3 linked regions of the Struthio camelus genome follow. The protein of the gene in region 2 purifies or fractionates together with the protein of the main gene of each other region. This does not show direct contact. Links are inferred from orthologs where the notes say so. Each region holds a gene or a part of one and is shown on either strand. Other genes may lie near its edges.

Evidence for each region.
Region 1: the proteins of tumor necrosis factor receptor superfamily member 10A-like (region 2) and RIPK1 purify together in Homo sapiens (affinity purification with western blotting, with the first as the bait; 3 studies listed by BioGRID). This does not show direct contact. The link is inferred for Struthio camelus from reciprocal best matches to the Homo sapiens genes TNFRSF10B and RIPK1.
Region 3: the proteins of tumor necrosis factor receptor superfamily member 10A-like (region 2) and CFLAR purify together in Homo sapiens (affinity purification with western blotting, with the first as the bait; 5 studies listed by BioGRID). This does not show direct contact. The link is inferred for Struthio camelus from reciprocal best matches to the Homo sapiens genes TNFRSF10B and CFLAR.

What each region holds. Positions count from the first base shown.
Region 1 is NC_090943.1:104,667,378-104,674,249, reverse strand, and holds the start of RIPK1 (receptor-interacting serine/threonine-protein kinase 1), read left to right. Parts: upstream 1-3,871; 5' UTR 3,872-3,982; intron 3,983-6,088; exon of another isoform or gene 6,089-6,872. UniProt on the Homo sapiens protein: Serine-threonine kinase which is a key regulator of TNF-mediated apoptosis, necroptosis and inflammatory pathways.
Region 2 is NC_090968.1:5,189,679-5,197,240, reverse strand, and holds the start of tumor necrosis factor receptor superfamily member 10A-like, read right to left. Parts: upstream 3,016-7,562; 5' UTR 1-3,015. UniProt on the Homo sapiens protein: Receptor for the cytotoxic ligand TNFSF10/TRAIL. The adapter molecule FADD recruits caspase-8 to the activated receptor.
Region 3 is NC_090947.1:10,403,048-10,410,452, forward strand, and holds the start of CFLAR (CASP8 and FADD-like apoptosis regulator), read right to left. Parts: upstream 3,002-7,405; 5' UTR 2,495-3,001; intron 2,331-2,494; exon of another isoform or gene 2,202-2,330; intron 974-2,201; exon of another isoform or gene 499-973; intron 284-498; 5' UTR 212-283; intron 191-211; exon of another isoform or gene 4-190; intron 1-3. UniProt on the Homo sapiens protein: Apoptosis regulator protein which may function as a crucial link between cell survival and cell death pathways in mammalian cells. Acts as an inhibitor of TNFRSF6 mediated apoptosis.

The DNA of each region.
Region 1 (6,872 bases), on a different chromosome or scaffold from region 2:
CATTGAAGTTAGCCACCTGCTTGCAGACAAATATACTTTGCAACACGCAAATTATCAAAAGGTCATGCTGAAGAGAAGAACAGCCAGGGGATAAATATCATCCATAATTCATATATTATTTTTCAAAAAAGAAATCCTATTATGTTAATAGATATTTTAAAGCCAAAAAATAACTATAAAGTAACCACCACTGTGACAGCCACACCCCAATGTCAAGGCAAGACTTCAGAAGATCTTCTGAACTTAGCTACAATGAAAAATTGCATCTATCACAAGGGTGGTTCCCAAGTCCCTTTGCGCAGCTTGTCCCACACTCAGGTTCCCCAAGAGGATTCGGCACTTTTCCGCATGCTCCTGTGCAGCAGTGCTGGTTGCACACTGCTGCAGTTTCTTCCACTTCAGCCCTCTGTGGTTTCAGTGAAATGCAATAGAAGTTCTGTTGTACTGTTGGGCAAAACTAGCTAAAACCATGGCTTCTCCTTGCAAAATCATCTGTACAGCTGTCAGACAGTAGTGGGATCAAGCAGACCAGCTAGTGCTTTAGCTTCAGGTTAATACATAGATTACGGAAAGATTATGAACAAATATCCGCTTAGGGTTTTCCCAGTGATCCTCTACTTCTACAGTGCTCTGGGTAGGATGCTGAGCCCAGAATTAACGTTTCAGCATTGACTCATCTCTGGAACTGGAAACTTCCTGTGTGAGGACACACTCATCTCTTGAGGTCTCAGCTGTGTCTTTAGCTGTGGACAAACACAGTGCCATCACGCTCATTCCCACCACAGTGTAGGTCCGCACAGAGCTTGCAGTTCATGGGAAACAGGGAGGTGGCAAAACTGTAAACAAAACATAAACAAAAATCAGACTTTTTAACATTTAAAAATGTGAACAAAAATCTAGCAATTAACTGGAGTGGGACTTTATGGGTGGAAGGAAAGGAGTGGAGAACTTAAAAGCTCTGTAGCAAAACTGTGATGCAGTCTTCAAACACCAGGAAAATATCTCCGTATTAAGTCACTTTCCCATTAGGGCATAAGCTTTTTGTGATTTTATTGGTTACGATAAATAAAACAGGTAAGTTTTCCAGGTAGCCTTCGTCTAGTGCTGCGGAGTTTCAATACTGTTTGATTTAGGAACACCTACATCACCTTCTGGTGATGCAACAGAATCTGAAAATTTCACAAATGCAGTTGGCAACAGCAGTTTTTATCCAACTGACAATAAAAACAGCTACATGCAAACAAAGTGCAATTGGAATTCTACGTGCTTATATTTTTTCTATTTTGATAAGATGGTTGAGACTTTTGGTACAAAGTAAATGAGAGTTTGGTCAAAATTAGTGAAAGTATCAGTTAAAGGGAAAAAAAAGAAGTAATGGGGTTATTTTATCTTAGTTGATACTAAAATTGAAAACTGCTCACAGAAATGCATTATTGTGAAAAGCATTAGAACTGTAATGAATGACCTTATCTCCAGTTCAGGATATTCTTCCGTTCTTCTTTATCAGAATTAAAGAGATTTCTCTGTGACTTCAGATTGCATTTTTGGACCAATTTATTTTCCTTATTCATTTCAAGAAGGAATGTCATAACTGGCAACACTGACCTCTGACCACGAACAAACAAATGTTTGTCTTTTTTCCTAGTACTTGTTGGTAAATCACTGAATGACTGAGATGTTTTTAACCACACAATTCTGTGTAAATGTGGCCATCTTACTTTCTCTCTTCAGCCACATACCTAATGCAAAGCCCAGAGAAGAGAAGCAAAAGAGCATTAAAAGGTTTCTGTAATGTTCGGGATGGCAACAGAAGAAAAAAACTGCACGACCTACCCATAGTTATGAGAGATGCCACATTTGCTTTCCTCAGTTGCCTTGGGACAATTAGAGTTCACGAACGTCCCAGTTTCTATGGACGATAGGCTTAGTAACACTTTCCTTAAGATATCTTGCAGCATGGATGGCCATGAAATGTGTGTTCAAACTACCTTGTCTGTCAGTTCAGCATAGCTGTCTTGAGCCTTTTAATTACAGTAAGCCTCATGAGGCCTTGCCTTGAATGCTATCAGAGCATTGGCCAGCTGGTCTGACTCTACACCGGTTGATCCAGAATCCGTTGAAAACAAAGGCATGCCCTAGACACATGCCAATTCCACTGCCGTAGGTTTTTTTAGAGTGGAAATGACTGCACTCAGCATTATGTGCAGTGGAAACAAGCCATTTGTTTGGTTTGTACTGCAAGGTGTAGAAAACCGCCTTGAGACTCAGGGAGGAAACTGCTTATGTTATCTCCAAGGCTGTTCTGCCTCTCCAAAACTGTATCGCCCGGCCCGTGCCAAGTGTTTCCCATTTATCTTTCAAAAGAGATGCCTTTCAGAAAATTGAAAGTTACATGTCACCTGCCCCTTCCAGATAAATGTGCTGGCTAGCAGAAGGCATAAATCAGACTATGCCTTCGTTTAAAAAAGGCAAGTATATGGATAAATGGGTTGTCTGGGAATTCCAGTAATGCATTGATGACTGACACGGGGAAACAAAGGACTAGTTCTACATTTGGAAAAGGCCAGAGCTCCAGAATATGCCAGCATTACATACCAGTGCACGTTGCGAACCTAAAAGGCTTCATAAGTACTAAATGGAGTATGGTTCTTTTTTGTTAATGTTTTGTTGGCTTTAAGTGGTGGTACAAACAGCCTTGAATGCCCTCCATGGTTGAGGAACCCTATCCATGAAATCCACTGTGGGGCCTCGCATGAAATTAAAACTCTCCATCACCACTGCGCTTCTTCCAGATCTACAAGAATCTAGGGCCTCAATTTCCATCAGGAAACTGAAACAGATTTCTAGACTGTCTTCTCTCATCACTCTCCTTTGAAAGTCAAGGGCCTGAGCAAGCTTGCCATTCAGCTTTAGAAAGGCTTCTTTCTTTATGTGCAAATTGTGGGCTGCTCTCGCCGGCCCACATGAATCTGCTGCTGCTTCAGTGGTATCTGGTGGCACTGATCTGTGAACACCACAGCATCTACAGGGCTTTGTGAAGAGCATAGCAGTTCCCCAGAATGGAAAAGGTCATTACAAAGCAGATAGTCATTCATCATTTCCAATTGTTTCACTGGAGAAACAGTTAAGAATGACTTTTATGTAAAGAAGCTGTAACGAGCCATTGTTTTTATATTAGAACACTTTTCCTAATGAAAGTAATGGAACAGGTCGGAAGTTATGGAATCTCTTTTACCGGTAGAATTACGACAAACTACATGAAATTTGTCAAAGATGGTCTAGACACCTCTGCAGAGCAAGAGGATGGACTAGATGGTTTACAGAGGTCCTTTTAGGTTACACCTTTCCTCCACCTGCTTCCGCAGGACTGTTACCTACTATGAGTACTCTCTTAGCGAGCAGAAGCTCCTGCCTCCATCTTCCTGAACAAGAAACTGCCTCGTAGGCCCTAAAACCACACCAAAGAGCTGCAGTCCCGCCATGCACCAACTGCAGGCCCTCCCGCAACGGCTGTCAGCCGCGGTAACTCCGACAGGTTATCTGGTAGCCGTGTGCCCAGACGCGGGCAGTACAGTACTTCGGGTCCGTGCTTCTCCCCGGGGCGCCGGCTGCGCGGCGAGGGCGGAGCGGGGCGCGGGTGGCACACGCGCTTTCCCAGCCCGGGCGGGCTCATTCCGCACGCTCCCGGGCCAGCGGGCGCGCGGCGGCTTCGCGGGCGGCGGCGGCGGCGGCCCGGCGGGCGGCGCGCCCTCCGCTTCCGAGCAGGCGCAGCCCGGCCGGGCTGGGCTGGGCGAGCGCCGAGGCGGCGGCAGCGGCAGGCCAAGCGGCCCAAACCTCCTGCCGGCGGCAGCGCGGGGCCGGCCGGCCGCAGGGGGCGGGAAGGCGCGCACGCCGCCGCGCACAGGCGCTGCCCGCCGCCGCGCCCCTCGGCCCGCTGGCGGAAGGCGGCGGCGCGGCGAGCGGCCGCGCAGGGCGCGGGGAGGTAAGGCCGCCCCGCGGGGCGGGAGGGAGCCCCGGCCGGCCCGGCTCGGCCCGGCTCGGCCCGGCTCGGCCCGGGGGAACCGGCCGCCGAAACCGGAAGTCCCGCGCGGGCTCCCAGTTGCAGAGGCGGCGGCGGGGGAGGGAGTGGGGGCTGCTGCCGCGGGCCGCGGCCACCTGCTGCCCGCGGTGGGGAGAGCGGCCCCGCGGGGCCCCCGCCCGGCCGCCCGCCCGCTCGCTGCGGCGGCCGCGTCGAGCAGAGGGTTTTCGCCGTCGGGGCCCGCGGGGCAGAGCGGAGCCCGGGGAAGCGGGCGGCGGGGAAAGCCCCGGGGAAGCGGTGCGTGCGAGGCGGGGAGGCCTGAGCGCGGCCGCCTTACAGGAAGCTGCGAGGAGGAGAAGGAGGAGGAGATGTCAAGCTGGCCGACAAGGAACTAGGCTCGAGAAGGCTCCCGTTAGGGTTTCTCAGAATTGCATCTGCTGCTGAAGCCGCACGTTTATTTCGTGCTCGCCTCGCAGGACGTTTGCTCTATGCTTCAGTGCGCTTCGGCTGCGGTTTGGGGCGCTTAGGCTGAAGCTGCGTCTGAGGCAGAGGCCTGGCCTCGGGGCTGGGCGCATCGTTTCCCCCTGACTGTTGGTGCTGCGGCGTTCGGCACCTTGCGGGACTGGGCCCTGGTTCGTGGTGGTTCCCTGAACTGCGCTGGGCTATAGCCACCTCGTTCCGGACAGGCTCTTTAAGGCTTTTTGAGCTAAGAAGGGATTTGCTAAAGCTGTGTTTTCACACTAGGAAATAACTTGTTAAACCAGAGCCTCCCTGGTAGTAAGGTCCAGAGGTGGCATTTTGCTCAAGTGTTTCTCTGCATCAGTGTGATGGGATCTGGGTGATGGGAAATTAGTTTGAGAGCATGTTTCTGGTAGAAAGCTGTTTGGTAGCAGCTAGTGCCTTCCTCTGACAGGGTCATACCAGTGTAAGATGGTACTCTACTGAAATGGCTTACTCTAATTCGCATATAAGAACATGCATTTTTATGAGCGCTTCTATCCTAAATTGTAACTAATTATTACAAAATATGACTGGTGCAAACCCCTGCACAATCCTTGTTCTTTCCTCTTTCTGCCTTCCTCTGCCGTATTCTGGTTCTACCAAAGAATCTCAGCCCCTTTTAATTGGCATCTTTGTCTCCCTTGTCTTGGTCCGTCCTTGTATTCCTGTAGAATCCCAGCTGTGGCTTGCTGTTGAGATGACACAAATATTTTCTTTGCTGTTTCCAAAAGAAAAGTTCATCCCTGAGCCAACAAGTGCAGCAGTGGAAAAAAAATCCTAGCAGAAGGGAAAGGTTTAGACTGAATGGGTCATCAAGGTTACAGTGATATAGCTGTGATGCACTGACATCTTTTGAAACGTCTTCACCAAGTGTGCAGCATTTTACGCGTGTTAGTGCTACAGGTTTTGTTTCCTGTTTGTTATTCTCTTCTCTTCATAATTGATACCTTGAAGTGACCAAGAGTTTTGGTGCCTGCAAACTTGTCCACTTTTTCTGATAATATCTTGTATTAGAACATCCTGTATTAACTCTCAAGAAACTTTGCATTACTAGTGTAACTAGACCACAAGTGCAGCCATTATCACTATATAATCTTTCTTCATATTACTGTGCTAATACCCTTAGCAGTCCCCCTTAATTGTGCAGGCTACCTGAGATCTGTATCAGATCAGTAACAATTTGTTAAAATGAAGCAAATTACTTTTGAATGACGATCAGACCCAAATGACCTCTAATGATCAGGTCACAATTTTGGGAGTTTCTGGGCCCTTTGGGGGCCAGTGGAGGGAACATAACCCATGATGTTAAAAAGAAAAGCCACAAACCCACGTTACACTGTTATCCTTCTCTAAAGAACACCCAAACGTATTACTGGGCAAATCTTCCCCTCTTCTAGCAGCCAGTATTCCAAATTTTTGTAGTACATGTTGACACTTCTTAAAAGTAAACCAACTTAATAAAGCTGTTCAGAACATCGTGTTAAAAAATAATTTGCTTAGTGATCAACCAAGTGTACAGATGAAGGGGACCCTATAGAACACAAACTAAACGCTGTAAGTATGCTTAGCTTGTGTGAGGTTAGGCTGAACTAACTTCAAAATTCCTGTTCACTCAGTATACTCATTATATAATATCACGGATATATAATGCTTATCCTGAAGTATCATAGCTACTAAGGATAGATTTGAAAAATCATGTATCGTAATAAAAAGCAGTAAACTTGGACTGGACTTGAGCCTTGGAGCTCTCCTCCTTGATTTCTCTATTATCTGACATTCCCAAGTAATATCAGTGAAGTAATATACCAAAGTAAGCAGTCTTTCCTTAAAAACCGTGCCAGAAATTGCTTCCCTGTGATGTCCATCCTAAAAAAACCCTTTGGGCTTGAAGCAAATCTTTGGTTCAAAGTTCTTAGAGTACTTTCTACTTTAAAAAAGAAAAGTTAGTAACATCCTAATACTAGAACATGCCCAATGGAGGGTTTTTTGCCCCAGTGTGAGAAAATCTCCTATGTTGAATGTTATCCAGTTCATTTCAGCGTTCATGGTGACTAATTATGGCTTGATGGGAAAATGCATTAGCAATTTATATAGGAAGAGTGTTGCTGTAGTTTGGGGCAGGGCTGCTTTTCATTAAGTTATATAGTAATGACTGTCAGGTAACCCCAAGCTATCGATAGCATTAATGTAACTTTAGGGATTTAGCTTTCTGAAATATATATCTAGTGTATTTGCATGATCATAAGGACAGAATATGTGGTTCTGTCCTGAGTAATTACTAGCTAGATGCATAATTACCATTATTATGCAAAAATTACTATAGATATGTGACTTTGAACTAATACTTGAAAGA
Region 2 (7,562 bases):
CCTCCATTACCTCCAGGAGCACTGGCCAGAGATGGTCCCTCTCGCCCCGCATGCCGCAACATGGGGAGCCAGAGAGGCACAAACCCCCCAGCCATGGCCAGCCTGGGCATATGGCCATCTCCAGACCCTGGCTTGGAGTAATCCAACTCAGAGCCCTGCAACGGTTCCTCCACCTCCTTCAGACTGCATTAGTGTTACCCGAGCTTTAGATAACACAGTTCATCGGGAACTTGAACTTCCCACCTCCCCTGGGGTGTCACAGCTGCTTAAAGAGCTCTGGGTAGCTACACGGTTAAAGGCAGGAAGCAAGAAGAGGAAGCTGGACCTCAGCGCAGGACTGGGATCCTAGAGCTGGCACGCTGCTAATCCAGACAGCGCAGAAAAAAAGCAAAGAAACTCAGGCCTCATGCAGACAAATATCCCAACCGTAAGAAAGAGCACGAACACAACTACCAGCTCTATAGCATTTGGGGTTTTGCAAAGTACAGGTGCAGATCTCCTGCTGGCTGCCTCCCAGAGTTTATTATAAAGTTATTATAAACTCCTTTTGCATCCAACTTAGGAGACAACTCAGCTTTTACCTTCCAGTCACAAGTTGTTTTACCCTCTGCAGTTCTCAGGGCTTTACCCATTCTGGCCTTGAAAGCCCCCGAGAACAGAGACTGCACAACCTCCCTGGGCAACCTGTCCCACTGCCTGACTGCCCTCATGGGCAAGAAAGTTTTCCTGCCAAGCCGTGAAGGCAACCACAGCAACAACATCTGTTGTTTCAGAGGGCCCCTCAGGCACAGGATTTCAGTGCTCTCCCTGAGCTTGCACAAGTGCATGATAAGGTTATCAGCCCACACCACCTTCAAGAGCAAATGCAGTTCAAGTACATCGTCCTGACAGAGCCCTTTGCAGGTAGGAATCTAACCTATCAGTTTTGCAAAGCACTGAGATAAGCCAGCCTAGGAGCCACAGGCAAAAGGTGGCCTCAGTTTTACAGTCCAGGAAACGGGCAAAAAGGGGTTCAGAGAGTCGCTGCATGCCCATAGCAGAGCCTGGACCCTTCTGCTCCAAGCGTGTGTCCTATGATGCTTTCCGCCAGCTCTTACCCTTGCCTGCTCCAAAATACTGATAACCAGAGGCCAGACACCACCACAACATACCTTGGCCCTGGAGAAACCCAGTCCAACACCCACTGCAAGGTGCTAACAGGACACTTGCAACCAGCACTAACTTCACCCTAGGATTATGATAACCTCTAGACCTGGCCCTCCCTGCTGGCAAGTCACTGTGGCAATCCAGGGGCAAACCTCCATCTTCCTTGGGCCGGGTGGCCTCACCTTCAGCCTTTAATTGCACAGCTAACTTGCCAGGAGACGGAGGAACTCACCAAAAAACAGCAAAACAATCCAAAAAAATCTTTAACTTAAAAACAGAGGGAAGGACCCTGCCTAGATCACAGAAGAGGTTTTAAAAAAAAGCCTAGGGAGAAAGAAATACAGCCACACTTCAGCTTGTCCCAGCATCAGAAGACTTGCCTGATCAATTCCAGCACAGGCAGCTATTTTATCACTGCAAAAGCCAGTTTTAAAGCAAGTTGCATAGGGAGGTCAAGTTCAACGCAAGCAATGGTATTCAAGAGTACTTTTCACCCGTAGCAAACATCCAAAGAAAGTAATGCTGCCCCAAAGCTGAAGAATGATCAGTCATAGTAATTTCCAATATCCTCATCGACCATGAATTTAAACCCCTCTTTCTATTCGGTCTGGATGATCAGACCTGGAGAAGACTTTTTGGGAAGTGCCGATCTTTGAACCTTCTCTCCTCTACCACCGATTTCTGGTTTCCTCCTGAAGTGATCCCAAGGAAGGAATCAAACCATTATGGCAGCAGATAGCCCACAAACTGAACTCCTGACCACCACAAAGCATCTAGACAGTATTAATAACCATGTCAACCCTTGATGTAGGGAGTGAGGCTCTTAATCCCAGAGCACCAACAGTGTTAAGGAACAAGGAGTGAGAGAGAGACTTCACAGACAACTGACACGCCTCTGCTCCAAGGGAATAAGTTTGCTGAACTTGGGGTTTCCCTGCAGACCTTATGTGGATGGAATTCGAGCTCCCGCAAATACAGAAATTCGGAGGATTTCTTCTTCACGAGCCTGTGGCCCGTGTCCAGGCATGATGCAACAAGCCATGGTGTGCAGAGGAAGCAACTTGCAGCCATAATATCGTATGATTATCACGTGGGCCAACATCAGTCCTGATCAGTTCTCCCTCCCTTTTTATTTTTATTTTTTATAAAAGAAAACAAGTCCAGTAAGAGCAGGCCTGTAGGTGATGGGGTCGGTAAGGCTATTGCCTATACAGGCAAGTCTAAGCAAAGAGCAGGGAGACTCAAGAAGGGATCACCTAACCTGTGCAACTCACAGAAACAGCACGGGAAGGGACCGGAGAAGATGAGGCACTTAAAAACCTGTTACAGGCAGCGCCGATTTCAGCGGCAGCAATTCCAGCAGGCAAACAGCAACCACGCGTCCCAGAGCCGCTCCTGCGCCACGGCAGGAATCGGGGCCAGTCCCGGGATCCTCGGGACAGGGTTCCCACTGACTGCAGGCGACACGAGACTTTGGGCACCTCTCCGAGCTATAGCCACCTCCAACCCAAGAAATACAGTATGGGCGGGTGGGAGTTTCTATCCTAAAAGTCACCAACGCTAAGGAGTCAGACTGCCGTTGGGGAAGTCTAAAATCACATATCCCCACACGAGACGGCACAGAAGGGCCCGCAGCAGAGCCCGGACACTTCCGAACGTCCCGCTGCGTTCACGTGGCGCGAACGTCCGCACGGACTCGGTGTCGCCGCAAGATCCCGACCCGGAACGGCAAACAATGCCGTTGGAAGCGAGGAAGTGGAAATCCCCTCCAGTCCTCCGGCCGCCCCACGCGCGGGCGCACGTGCCCATTCCCCGCGCCCCGGCGGGCTGGGAACGCGCTCCCGCCTCCGCCCTGCCCCACGTGTCCCTGCTCCCCTACGAGCCTCCTGCGGAGCCCCCTGCAGCCCCCCCCCAAGCTCTCCAGGGGAGCCCCCATAGCCCCTGGGCCAGGGAAACCCCCATGCCTTTCCCATAGCCCACACACCAGGGGAGCCCCCTCCTCATAGAGGTGAGCCCCCCATGGCCCCTGCTCCCCATAACCCCCAGGAGCCTCCCCATAGCCTCTTGGAGCCTCCCCCCCATACAGGTGAGCCCCCCCCACAGCCCCTAGGAGCCCCCCATAACCCCCTAGGAGCCTCCTCCCCCCATACAGGTGAGCCCCCCATAACCCCCTAGGAGCCTCCCCCTCAAACAGGTGAGCCCCCCCCACAGCCCCTGGGAGCCTCCCCCCGTACAGGTGAGCCCCCCCATAACCCCCCGGGAGCCTCCCCCCGTACAGGTGAGCCCCCCCATAACCCCCCGGGAGCCTCCCCCCGTACAGGTGAGCCCCCCCATAACCCCCCAAGAGTCCCCCACACGGCCCCTGGGAGCCCCCCCCATACAGGTGAGCCCCCCCCAGCCCCTGCCCCCCCGTACAGGTGAGCCCCCCCCGCTGCCCCCGGGAGCCCCCTCCCTTAGCCCCTACGACCCCCCCTCCGCCCACTGCTCCCCCTCCAGCCCCTACGACCCCCCTCCGCCCGCTGCCCCCCCCCAGCCACCCTCTGCGCCCCCCCCCAGTAACTCCCGTGAAGGGGGAGCCGCCAACCCCTTGCCGGGCCCCGACGGCGCAGCAAGCCCGGACATGCCGCGGCGGCGCCCGGCGCCCCCCCCCCCCCCCGGACCCCACACACCGGCGGCGGCAGCAGCAGGAGGAGGAAGAGGAGGAGGCGGAGGAGGCGGCAGCGCCGTCGGGGCGCGCCGCGCATCGTGCGCGGGAGCGGGGCCGGCTCCGGGTCGGGGCGGCTCGGCTGAGCTCCGGGTCGGCTCCGGGTCGCCCCCGGTGCGCTCACTCTCCCGCAACGCGGCCGGCGGCCGGCTTAAATACGCGATGTGGGCCGGGCCGGGAGGAGGAGGAGGAGGAGGAAGGGGGCCGGCCGGCTGGCTGGCCCGTGCTGCCCCCCCCTCCATCCCGCGCACGCTTGGCCCCGCCGCCGCCGCCGCCGCCGCTCGGAAGCCGCACGGAGGTTTCAGCACGGCTTTTGTTAACAGCTTCACTGGCCGGGCCGAAAACTGAACCCGCCCGGCTTGCCGCGGAACTTTCATTTTTTAGCGCTTTCGTGTTGGTGGGTGGATGGGTGGGGGGGGGGGGTGTGTCGGGGAAAATAGTTACGGCTGGTTTTCAAGCCTCCAGATCAGACAAGCGCCCTCACGAATGCTTCTGCGAGGGGCTTTTCATTGACACCTTTTGCTTTCTCAGCTTGTTCCCCCCCCCCATCATAGCAGCGTCTAAACCTCAAGTGAGCAAGAATATATGTTTTACGGGGAAAATGGAGTTACATAAATATCCCCTCCTGCTTCCAAGAAATCCCAGCGAGGAGCACGGAGTTTACAGGAAGACGCAAAAGGCTCCTGGAGGGGCCGGTGGCCGGGCACGAGGTGCAAAGCCGCCCTGTGGGCTGTGGTGCGGCTCAGCAAAAACCCTCACCCCTCCTTCAAAACCCCTCCTCCCTAACTTTTGCCTCTGAGCTGGAAAGTGGGGAAATTCCACGCGGTTTTCTGCAGGCTTGAGCCCAAAGAAAAAAAAAATAAGAAAGGAAAACCTTTGGACTTTGTGCCATTACACCGCTAGCCCTTCTGCAGTGAGCTCATTTGGATAGCGAGTGGGACAAACTACTCCACCGAAACAAAGCCGAGATGGAGAGATGGAGGAGCTGTGACCTGTTAATCTTTTCCTAGACTCCGTACCAGACTTGAACTTAGGGCTCGGTTTGTGTTAGCTGCATTCAATAGCCCAGGGCTTTGGAAAATGCTCCCTCCCTGAGAAATGCTGTTACAGCCCTAGCCGGGATGCATGTGGGGATGTGACTCACCGGAGGCTGGGCATGTAGTTGCCCCAGCAGTAACTCTTGAGTGACTGATCCTTTTTCAAGTCCAGGCCCAGGAAGAGCAACTGTGGGTGAGAGCCTGCAACTGGGTGACAAGGCTCAGAGGAGGTTGGCCGCTCCGCAGGAAAAGCTGCTCTTCATGGAAGTGGCTCAGTGCACTGAAAATTTGGATGAAAACAGGGCTGCTGACCAGTTCAGTGGCATCTTCAGCATCTCCAGAGCTTTGCAGGGAGGCAGCCTGCAAGGAAGGCTCCTTGGATCCAAGCAGACCAGCAGTGTCCACGCTCGGGCCACGGATATTTGGGAAGCATCTCCCCTTTGGGCACTGAACTCTTGAGAGAGTGAGCGTTTCTGCAACCAGCTGTGCCATGCCATGGAAACCTAGTTTTCTCCTTGCAGAAGTTAGGGCCTGTCTACACAGAAAATAATTAAGCTGAAGTATGATTTAAAGTAGATCAGGAATTCCTGGTTGTTTCCTGGGTGGGTAGTTATATGACAGGCCCCAAAAGTATGCAGGGCCTTTTGTTTAACCAAAACCATGTGTTCTGTGTTCTAGATACCACTGACTTCAGCTCAAGTGATTCAGGGCCTTAGAGAACAACTCATTTTTCAGTTAGGTCAGAATAAATGCTATTTAACAGCCTTACTGCATTTGCAACTTCAGATGGCCATGCCTGGCCTTTGTGCGATACGGCACCCTGGCTGTATCCAGCGGGACTGTGAAGGACCCTGTCTGTCTACTCTCCAAAAAAACCAACCTGACGCCATTTATGGGACTTGCCATTTATGGGGCATTTATGGGATCGCATAAATCCATATGGGCAGGAGGCTGCACATGGGGCAAGGGGATGCAGAAGTGAGAACATATTTTAGAACTGCTGCTTCCCAGTTTGCCCAATAATGTACACTGTGCCCTCAGGTGCACCTCAGCAGGGTGAGAACAACCTTCAGCACCGAGACCCCAAGGCCTAATCCCGTTCTGCCAAACACTTGTTGCGAAGCTGCAGTTCTTTGTCCATCTGTCTCACTCTCTCTGTTTATACAATTGGACTAATGGAGTTATCTGTGCTGACAAACCACAGCTTTTCCACAGCTCTGAGCAAAGACGGCTTTCTGCTGTGCCGTGGGTATTTAAGCTAATGAGCGAGTTGAGTGATGTGAGCCTTCTCCCACTCCCCAGCCCCATCCCAGCCAGATGCTGCAGCGCCGGGTGGGACTCCCAGGGCCGGTAACGTCATTCACCCGCCAAGCAAGAATTTCCACTGCTTGGCTGCAGCCATGCACAGAGCTGGCACGCAGAGCATTTCCATTTAAGGCCCATTTGCAGACGAGGCACCGGTCTCAGGCGGGAGAGGGGTGTTTTTATCACTCACAGACAGGCCCCCTGTCACTCCCCCAGGCCTTATCGCCGCAGGCCTCCCCGTCTCCGCAGCTCCGTCTGAAGCAGGAACCGTTCAGAAGCCGGGGAGATTGCACCACAAGAGCAGCGGCGGGCGTAAACGAAGTGCATGGAGAAGCCGGGGGGGACCCACCGCAGTTTTGTGATGCCGAGTTTCGCCCTGCTTCCGCAGCTCTATTGCAAGTGGAACATAAAATGAGTCCAAGAGTTTGAGCAGAGCCTTGGCTCTCCTCCCGGCTCCTGTCCCCCCGCCCCGTGGCCAGGAGCAGGGACACTTGACACCAAAGTGGGAAATGCCCACGCTGGACAATTATGCAATAAACAGCCCTGAGGGGAAGTCTACTCCTATCTGCCACAGTTAGCGGTTAACCTCACGCGAGCTAGCTAACGCTGTGGTGCTCAAGGGTTCACACCCTCCACGTATTTTCATCCTAATGATGCATCTCTTTGCTCATGGGCTTCTTGTTTATGTCCATCCTTAAAAGAGACTGTGTGGAGGTGAAGGTGACTCTAATCTCTCCTTCCAGAGCATCTTTCTTTTAACTGGGATCTGTGGCACATCTCTGTGGGGGTGATGGGGTACGTGTCTATACATTACTTTTTGAATGTCAGCATTAAGCTTTTCCTCCAGATTTTTGCTGCCTCTTGTTTGTTTTTTGTTTCCTGAAAGGGATTTGAAGCTGTCTGATAATGTTGACCTTCCCTCTCAGGATAAACAAATGATTTTTCTCATAAATGCCAGGTTCCTCTTTAAAAGAGGGAGGATGCTCTTGCAGACAGTCCACTGTGTGGACTTCATGAGAATGGAGCTTAATTCCCCACTGCATCACGGTCTCTTTCCTGAGTAACTCCGGACAAGTCACGGAGTCTCTCTGTGCCTCCGTTCCCCCCTGTGCAACAGGGGGATGTTAATGCTTCTCTTTTCGCTCCCTGTGCCTGCTTTATCTTTGTGGTTTGTGAGATGCTCATGGGTATGTATGGAGCAGGTGGGGGAATTTTGTCATCCTTTCTCCGTTCACCTTTCCCGACGCAGCTTCCCCACCTCTGTCGTCTCTGGGCAAGTGAAAGGGTTAAACGTTTCCCCTTATGAATGCGAACCCAGGAGGCTGGCTTGACTAAAAGCAAGGGGAAACTTTAAACAGCAGACATCAAGT
Region 3 (7,405 bases), on a different chromosome or scaffold from region 2:
AACCTGATGCATTCCATCTGCACGCGTTTTAGCCAGACCCACTTCTCCATGAGAGGTGAAGGGCATCTTGTTTCACCCTTCCATCTGATAACGATAGCTTTTGCAAACATCATTGGTGCAGTTATAGCTGAAACATGGACAACTAAAGAAAAAGAGAAAAGCAATGACAGAATGCATAACCCAGCAGTCTAGCCCTCAATTTTTAGATTACCTGGGCTCTGCAGCAAGAAGAGCTTCTGAACGTAAATTCTTTACAAAATGGAGGGAGAGGAAAACAGCACACCTTTTGAGGAGAAAAGAAACAAGTTCACAGTCAGCAGAGAAAGCTGTTCCTGTAGTTTATGTGTTCATGTGTGCATGTAATTTGCCAATATTGCTGCAAGAAAATACTTAAAGACTTTCCTCTTCTGTTCCGTTCAGTGTTGCTTCCACTGCATAAAGATTTCGGCACAGAAGTTACAGAGCAGGAAGATATTTAAAAGAGACGGTGCTCCGTACCTTAAAAAAATCAGCTGTGCCTGAAGCACTACACTTATTTCCATTTAAATAAAATCTAAAATCATTGCAAATAGCACAACTGTAACACAACAACCTACACCGCTGTTATCTGAGGATATTGCAAGGCTGCCTCAGTAATATCAGGGGCAGAGTGAGTGAAGGGGCCAAGCCTACACATGGAACAAAGAACTACTTTTTTGTTCCTGTAATCAAAGAACCAGGAAAGCCCCAGGCACCTCGAGGGAGAAGGACAGGGGAGGAGGCAGTTTTCTGTAAGTCTAGCTATTTCAGTTCACAATCACACCAAATTTTCACAGGGCAAGCGCTCTTGTGGAAAATAGTCATAAGGTCTTTGAAAAAATGACTGATTCTAGAGTGACTCATCAGTCACCTTGTCACCCCAAAAGAGGATTGAGAGAAAACATGTCTCAAGAGGATTACTACAAAAGCACACTCAAATACGAGTTACTGCTTTTAACTTTCCTTAAGGAAGTGGAAGATTTTAAGTCTGAATGGACATTCCTTAATGAATTTCTCACCTACTGCAATGGGAAACCATCCTTGTCGAGGGCATGCTTATCTAAGTCTGCACTGACTTTTGACCCTGGATATTACACTGTAAGTAAGGATTTATTAAGATAAAATACCTGAGAAAATTAGCAAGTATATTTCTCAGACCACAATAGTCATTTCCCTTCCACGCTAGGCAAAGAGCTAAGAAAATATCAGTATGTTAATTGGCTTCTATGAGAGTAATAAAATGAATTATACTCCTATTTTCTGAACTTTCTCACTGCCCAGAATCCAGGCAGAATACATCCAAAATCAAGGACCAGGATTCTTTTTTTTTTTTTTTTTTGTTAAGGTGCGGGAAATAACAATATCCTAGAACTTCACAAAGACTTGTAAGGCTCTGTTAACTCCCCCCGTGTATGTACAAGGCTCAAGCAATTTTACTTTTTGCAAAACAAATGCTGCACAACATACTAACATCAGTTCAATTAGCAAGGCAAAAAAGTGTCCTGTACTAATTATGACAAAGTCATCTATCAGGCCTCAAATTAAGAAGCAGAAGTCTTTCAAGAGAAGCAGGGAAACCTTTCACACTTTAAAAGTCATCTCCAATTACAGTCTGTCAGTTGAGACAGCATTTGTTTCTTGAACGTTTCACAACTGTAGTAAACATCTCTACAGCAGCAAAAACGGGATATATCATCAGTAAGTGTAGTTCTTGTTTGGAAAGCCCTCTTTGTTTCACAGGACGAGCCCAAGTAGGAGCCCCTACGCCAGGCAAAGAGAGCGGGTTACCTTGCTACAAGGAGGTACTACCTGTATGTTGTGGCCCCTCCCCCTGCTTTAAGATGCAGAGGTGGTCAGCGCTCATTTTGAGCATGTATCATCTGACGTCTTTCAAACTGTTGCATATGTCAGGGCGTGTTATACAAGTTTCAAATACCCCTGTAAAGAAAGAGGATCTGCTACGAGGCATTCAGGGAAAGCCCACGGTAACTTCCACGTTCCTCATCATTGTATGAGGCCTAATGATTTGCTCTGGTGTAAACCAGTAGTGACTACACTCATTTCCATTTAAAGGTGAGCTAGTTTAACACTCCGGTCCTGATCAAAAATTGAAATAAACTGGCTTTACCCTAGGGAGTTTATACAGCTTTCCGCCCAATTTTAACTACGTCACTTTAACTCACACTTGAAAAATGAAGCGAAAGGAAACTCCGCGCTGCAGGTCGAAAAGGTTTCACCCGAAGGGCAGCGCCGGGTTTCGTTTCTCCTCACGAGCAAGGACGGGCTCAGGCCCCGCTGGCGCGGAGCGCCCCGGCTCGCCGCACCCGCCCAGGCCCGGCCCGGCCCGCCCTCCGCCGGAGCGGGCCGCAGCGGGAGGAGGGCCCGATCCCGCAGCAGGGCGCGTTGGGGGCGCCTGTCCTGAGGGCGCGGGGGGGGGTGACTGCCTGGGGGAAGGAGGAGGGGACGCATAACGCACCCGGGAGGTCTCGTCTACAGCGGCGGGGCCAGGTCCGGAGCAGGAAGCGGTGCCGCAGGGAGAAGGAGAGGGCGGTACCGGCCTCGCAACGGGCTCCCCCGCACCAGGCGTGGTTTCGAGCACGGGCGGGGGGAGGCACAAGACCCTGGGCGCTCAGCATGGCCCCTTTTTCTCTTTCTAATGCGAGTTTCAGGATGAGACATCCGGAGCGTTTTCTGCTCCTCTTAACGCTGCTGCGACCAAAGCCGCCCCCACGCATAGACAGTCCCTGCCCCAGGCAGAGAGCTCCGCTCGCCGAGGGAAGAGGGGACTGAATATTGCCACCTTCCCCTCACTGCACAGCTGCGGAGCCACACTCGCCAGCCCTCGCCAGCCCTTACGACTTTATCGCGACTCCAGCCATTAGGTACCCGGGGTCGAGGGAATGGTTATCAGCCGCCTACTTTTCGGTCGCGCAGCCAGCAGCTGCTCTTTAACCCGCCTCAGGAGAGGAACCGCCCAGCTCCGCTCCCACTGTGCGGACCAACCCCCACAAAATGGCGGCCGGGGCGGCGGCGGGAGCGAGGCGTCCACCCGCGCGCGATCCACAGCGCCACCTGAGGGGGCCGTTTGCGCACAAAATGGCGGCGCGCCCGCCTCAGGGCTGTGCGGAGCGGGGCCCTGGGGGGGAGAAAGGGCGGGAAAAGGGGGCCGAGAGGGCAGCGTGGGGCCGCTGGGCCCTTCTGAGAGGGCAGAGAAGGAGGGGGTGAGGACGGTGCTGTCCTATCAGTGAGATGGGCGCGTTTTTGTGTGTCTTGGGGGCTTCAGCTTGGAGGCCCAGAAAGGGAAGGCTGGGAATCGCATTGATAGGTAGCAGTACACACAGACATGCGTACATAATCTACGTGCATGTAGGCTGCAGGCTTCCTAAGCCGGTTTTCAGACGACGAAGGCCCACCTCAGGAGCCGCTGAGTGGCAGATCCAGCAGTTGTGCAGTGCAGCAGGCTCTTCCGTTGAGCGAATGCAGACTGGTGAGCGCAGGGCACGTATGGCGGGGCGTTTTGGTGGGGGGTTACGCAGCAACAAATCTTTCCTGCGTTCCTCTCTTGTTGTACCCCTCTGAACTCATTCACGGCGAGGATAATGATTGTACAGGCACGTGAGAGTGTTGAGCTTCCGTTTGTTGTGTAATCTTCAATACTTCTGCCCTGTGCTGCTGTTCCCATGGTATACCTGGCAAGTCCCATCAAGTGACTTAGTGTGAGGCATTAGTGTCACAGCTGGAGCTGCTCTCTCTAAATCTAAAATTCTGGCCTGTTTTTGTCAACTGAACTAGACAGAAGCCTCATCCACCATGTATGGTGAATTTGGATGCAATAGATAGAAAATCTTCAAGAAAAAAGGACTTTGAAGTATTTACAACCCAGCAAACCGTTGTATGTGCTGCTAAAATGGAGCAGTTGAAGCATGGTTTTCTCTGGAATAATGCTCAGTTGTTTAAAAAAAAAAAAATAACGTACTCCTTGGAACAGCAGAGGAAAAACTCAGGGAGGCAGAAAGTAATTTTGCCTGAACTAGAATTTGGTCAGATTCCAATTGACTGTTTTGTGCTCTGAAAAAGTACCTCGATTCTTACTGACCTGGTATGGTTAGGCTCTTGCCTCAGTATCTGTCATTACAGGGTAGTAAGGGTATTGCAGTGTCCCTGCTGCCAAGCCTGTAGCCATAGCTGATTGAGAATGAAAAGGGCTGCCCACTGAATCTCTTCTCACAATCTCTCCTTGGACCTATTCCGTACAAATGCATAAGGCTAACAGAAGAGGTTATATATATATAATGAGATAGTATGGCTGCAGCCTTATGAAAGAAAAGAAGAACCTGCTTTTTGCAAAAATGACCATACAAATAGTCACATTCACCTACATTCACATTCATAATTAACATTCACCACATCCATTGCCAAAGAGATTGACTTACTATTTTGTTTACTTTTTCCACTTTTTCCTTCACTTTCTTAATTCTTATATGCTTATGAAGCTGCTTTTGCATATTTATAGGCAATATTTATGAGCTGTGTACAAGTTTTTTGAAGGGGGGGTGTCCAAGTTTCTAAGTTGAAATACTACATTGTCTTCTCCGATTGGTTCTCATGTCCTAGAACTGCAAATCAGTATGAGTGCAGAGCAGAGAGCGTTCTAGTAAGATTAGATAGGATTGAGAAGAGATGGTCCTATTTTGCTGTGATTTAGAGAGCTTTGGATTTATATCTCTGCCTCGAATTGGATTTCTCTCCATCTACTTTCATAACAGGTTGGGGCTATTTTGTAGATTGTCCTAGTTAAGTAAAACAAAAAAAAAATTCCATGTATCTAAAAGTCAGATTTTGTATGATCAAGGTGAGTGCGTTACATCTGTTTATATAAGTGGTGTTGCTAATATCATTCATTACATGTCATAGTTCCTTATTTTAAAAAAAGGAGCTAATTCAGTAGGAGAAGTGTTGTTTGGTTTTTTTGTTGGCCTACAACTGAGGACAGAAAAGGTATAGGAAACAAACATAGAAGACTAGTCTGGAGGATGATACAAATTTAGAATTTTATACTGAATGATGTAAAATTTTACAGTTGCTGTCAGCAAAAATAATAAATCACGAATATCTCTTGAGATGATGCAGATAGCTTTGTGAAGCACAGGTGAAAATCCTATGACCATCATCAGTGTTTTTCAAAACTTACTTACAGAATGAGCTTCCTGATTGTGCCATTACCATCATATGTTCTTCACCTGGAGGTGGCCACTGCTGTTTGTGACCCTGTTCTTTGCTCTGTAAAATAATCTTATGTGTGCTGGTAGGAAGCCTGCTTTAATTTTAGGACATTCATTGCTATGGTTACAGTGAAGACAGGTTTGGTACTTATTATCCTATTACATAGGAAATACTCCATTACCAGGAAGGATTAGTATTATTTTAGTAAATGTGAAATAAAAATCTTTTATATAAGAGTATTGTGTGTATAAGGAGTATTACATGCTACATCTGTTTTAGGGAATGAATGAAGACACGTTTTGATATTCCCTAATACTGCCAAGGCAAGTTCACCATAAATTTAGGCAGCCATTGATGGCAGTGGCTGAAATACTTTCTGGTAATTAAATCACTGAATGACACCTTCTTAATCTATAAATTAATGAGTTTCACCTAAACCAGTCCAGTTTTAACTAACAGCGAATATGCCCAATATACTACTACGGTGTGGAATGTTCATAAGGCTGATTCCTATGATCTTCCCTATACACAGCAGCATTTAAACATGAATATATGGAAGAACTGTATAAAATTGAGGTGACTTGCTTGTGTGCAAATTTTCTGGAAACTCTGGCTGAAATGAGTGAAGATGTGTAAGATTTCAACAGACTGATTCTTAACTTTCTTCATGTACTGTAATTGCCAACAAACCAGAATCTGGATAAACAAAGCTAACTGTTTTTTAAAAAATTGAGGAATGCATTAGGTTATATATCAATCAAGCTACGTTTCTGTATGCATATCTTACATCTTTTGGTCCAAGCAAAGTGAATAACATACCAATATTATGTATGCTGAAAATAGGAGTACAGTAAGTTTTTCTCATATGTGTTTTTCTGCTAAGTTTGAAAAGAATGTGTGAATCTCTCTTCAGGTAGCGTAAATGACAAAATTCTGTTTAAAAAAAATAGAACTATATTTAGTCATACCAATGAAGCTGCAGGCTTGTATCATTTTAAAAGACTAATTCTATAGGAGTCTGTGGCAACTTTACTGCAGACTCTGAAGCATTTTAAAAAAAAACAAAATAAAACAGCATGCATATAGAAGAACATGAAAACAAGGTTTCCAACTGGAAACTAAATGAAACAGCAACTATTGATCAAGGTTATGTTAAGGTTTATGCTTCTGGAAAAGTTGCAATAGGGTTGGGGGGCAGGTAACCAGTCAAATCAGCGTGCACACATACACAAGTCAGGGACACCATATTATAACTATAAAGGGCAGAAGTGAGCAGCACATACCTGAAGTGCAAGTTTCATCGATACCACTTGTAATGCCAGCTCTGCTAATCATGTGCTTCTGAACCACCACCGAAAGTTGAGCTTTCTTAATCCTTTTAATCTTAGACCTGGTTAGAACAAGCAGTGAATACTAGCCTTTGCAAATGCATATTCAGGGCAGGACTGCCTAAGGGATAATGTAGAAATGTTTTGTTGCAACAAACCTTACACAGTATGTTCGTGATTTGTTTTTCATGGAATGATGCAATAGCATAGGGATACTTGAGAAAGAATTAAGCAAGAAAACCAATTTAGTAAAACAGCTGTTTGTCCAATGAACAATGCCTTAGGCAACGTCATGCAGAGATGTAGAATTCTGTAGGAGTGCAGCTGTACTGTTCAGTAGTTTTATTGCCTCCAAAAATAAAACTCTGCTATAGCCTCACTGAAAGACTGTGCACTCTCTCTCTCTATATATAGAGAGAGAGGGAGGCATTTTACCCTCCTTTTTTTTTTTTATTTTTATTTTTTAAGAGCTGCAGTTGTTCTTGTAAAGCTGCAATTACAACTTCAAGGTACTCTACAGTTCTTCTACACTGGAAGTATACAACGTAATTGTCTAGTGGTATTTGAAGTTTACTTTTCTCTTGTCTGATTTTTGCTCTTCAGTTCACACAGATATGCTATGTCTGGATTGAAAACTGAGATATGGTAGCCTCCTTAGCTTATGTAACTAATGGCATAAAGATTTACAATATGATGTTTGGCTAGTTCTACTTTATAGCTCTGGAGAGCATGTATGCTGCCAACAGGCCCCCTTTTACTACTTTTTTCACTGTTGGCATTCTTAAGGCACTCTAGAAGCAGGTAATTTGAGGAAATATGTAAAACTTAACCCAAAT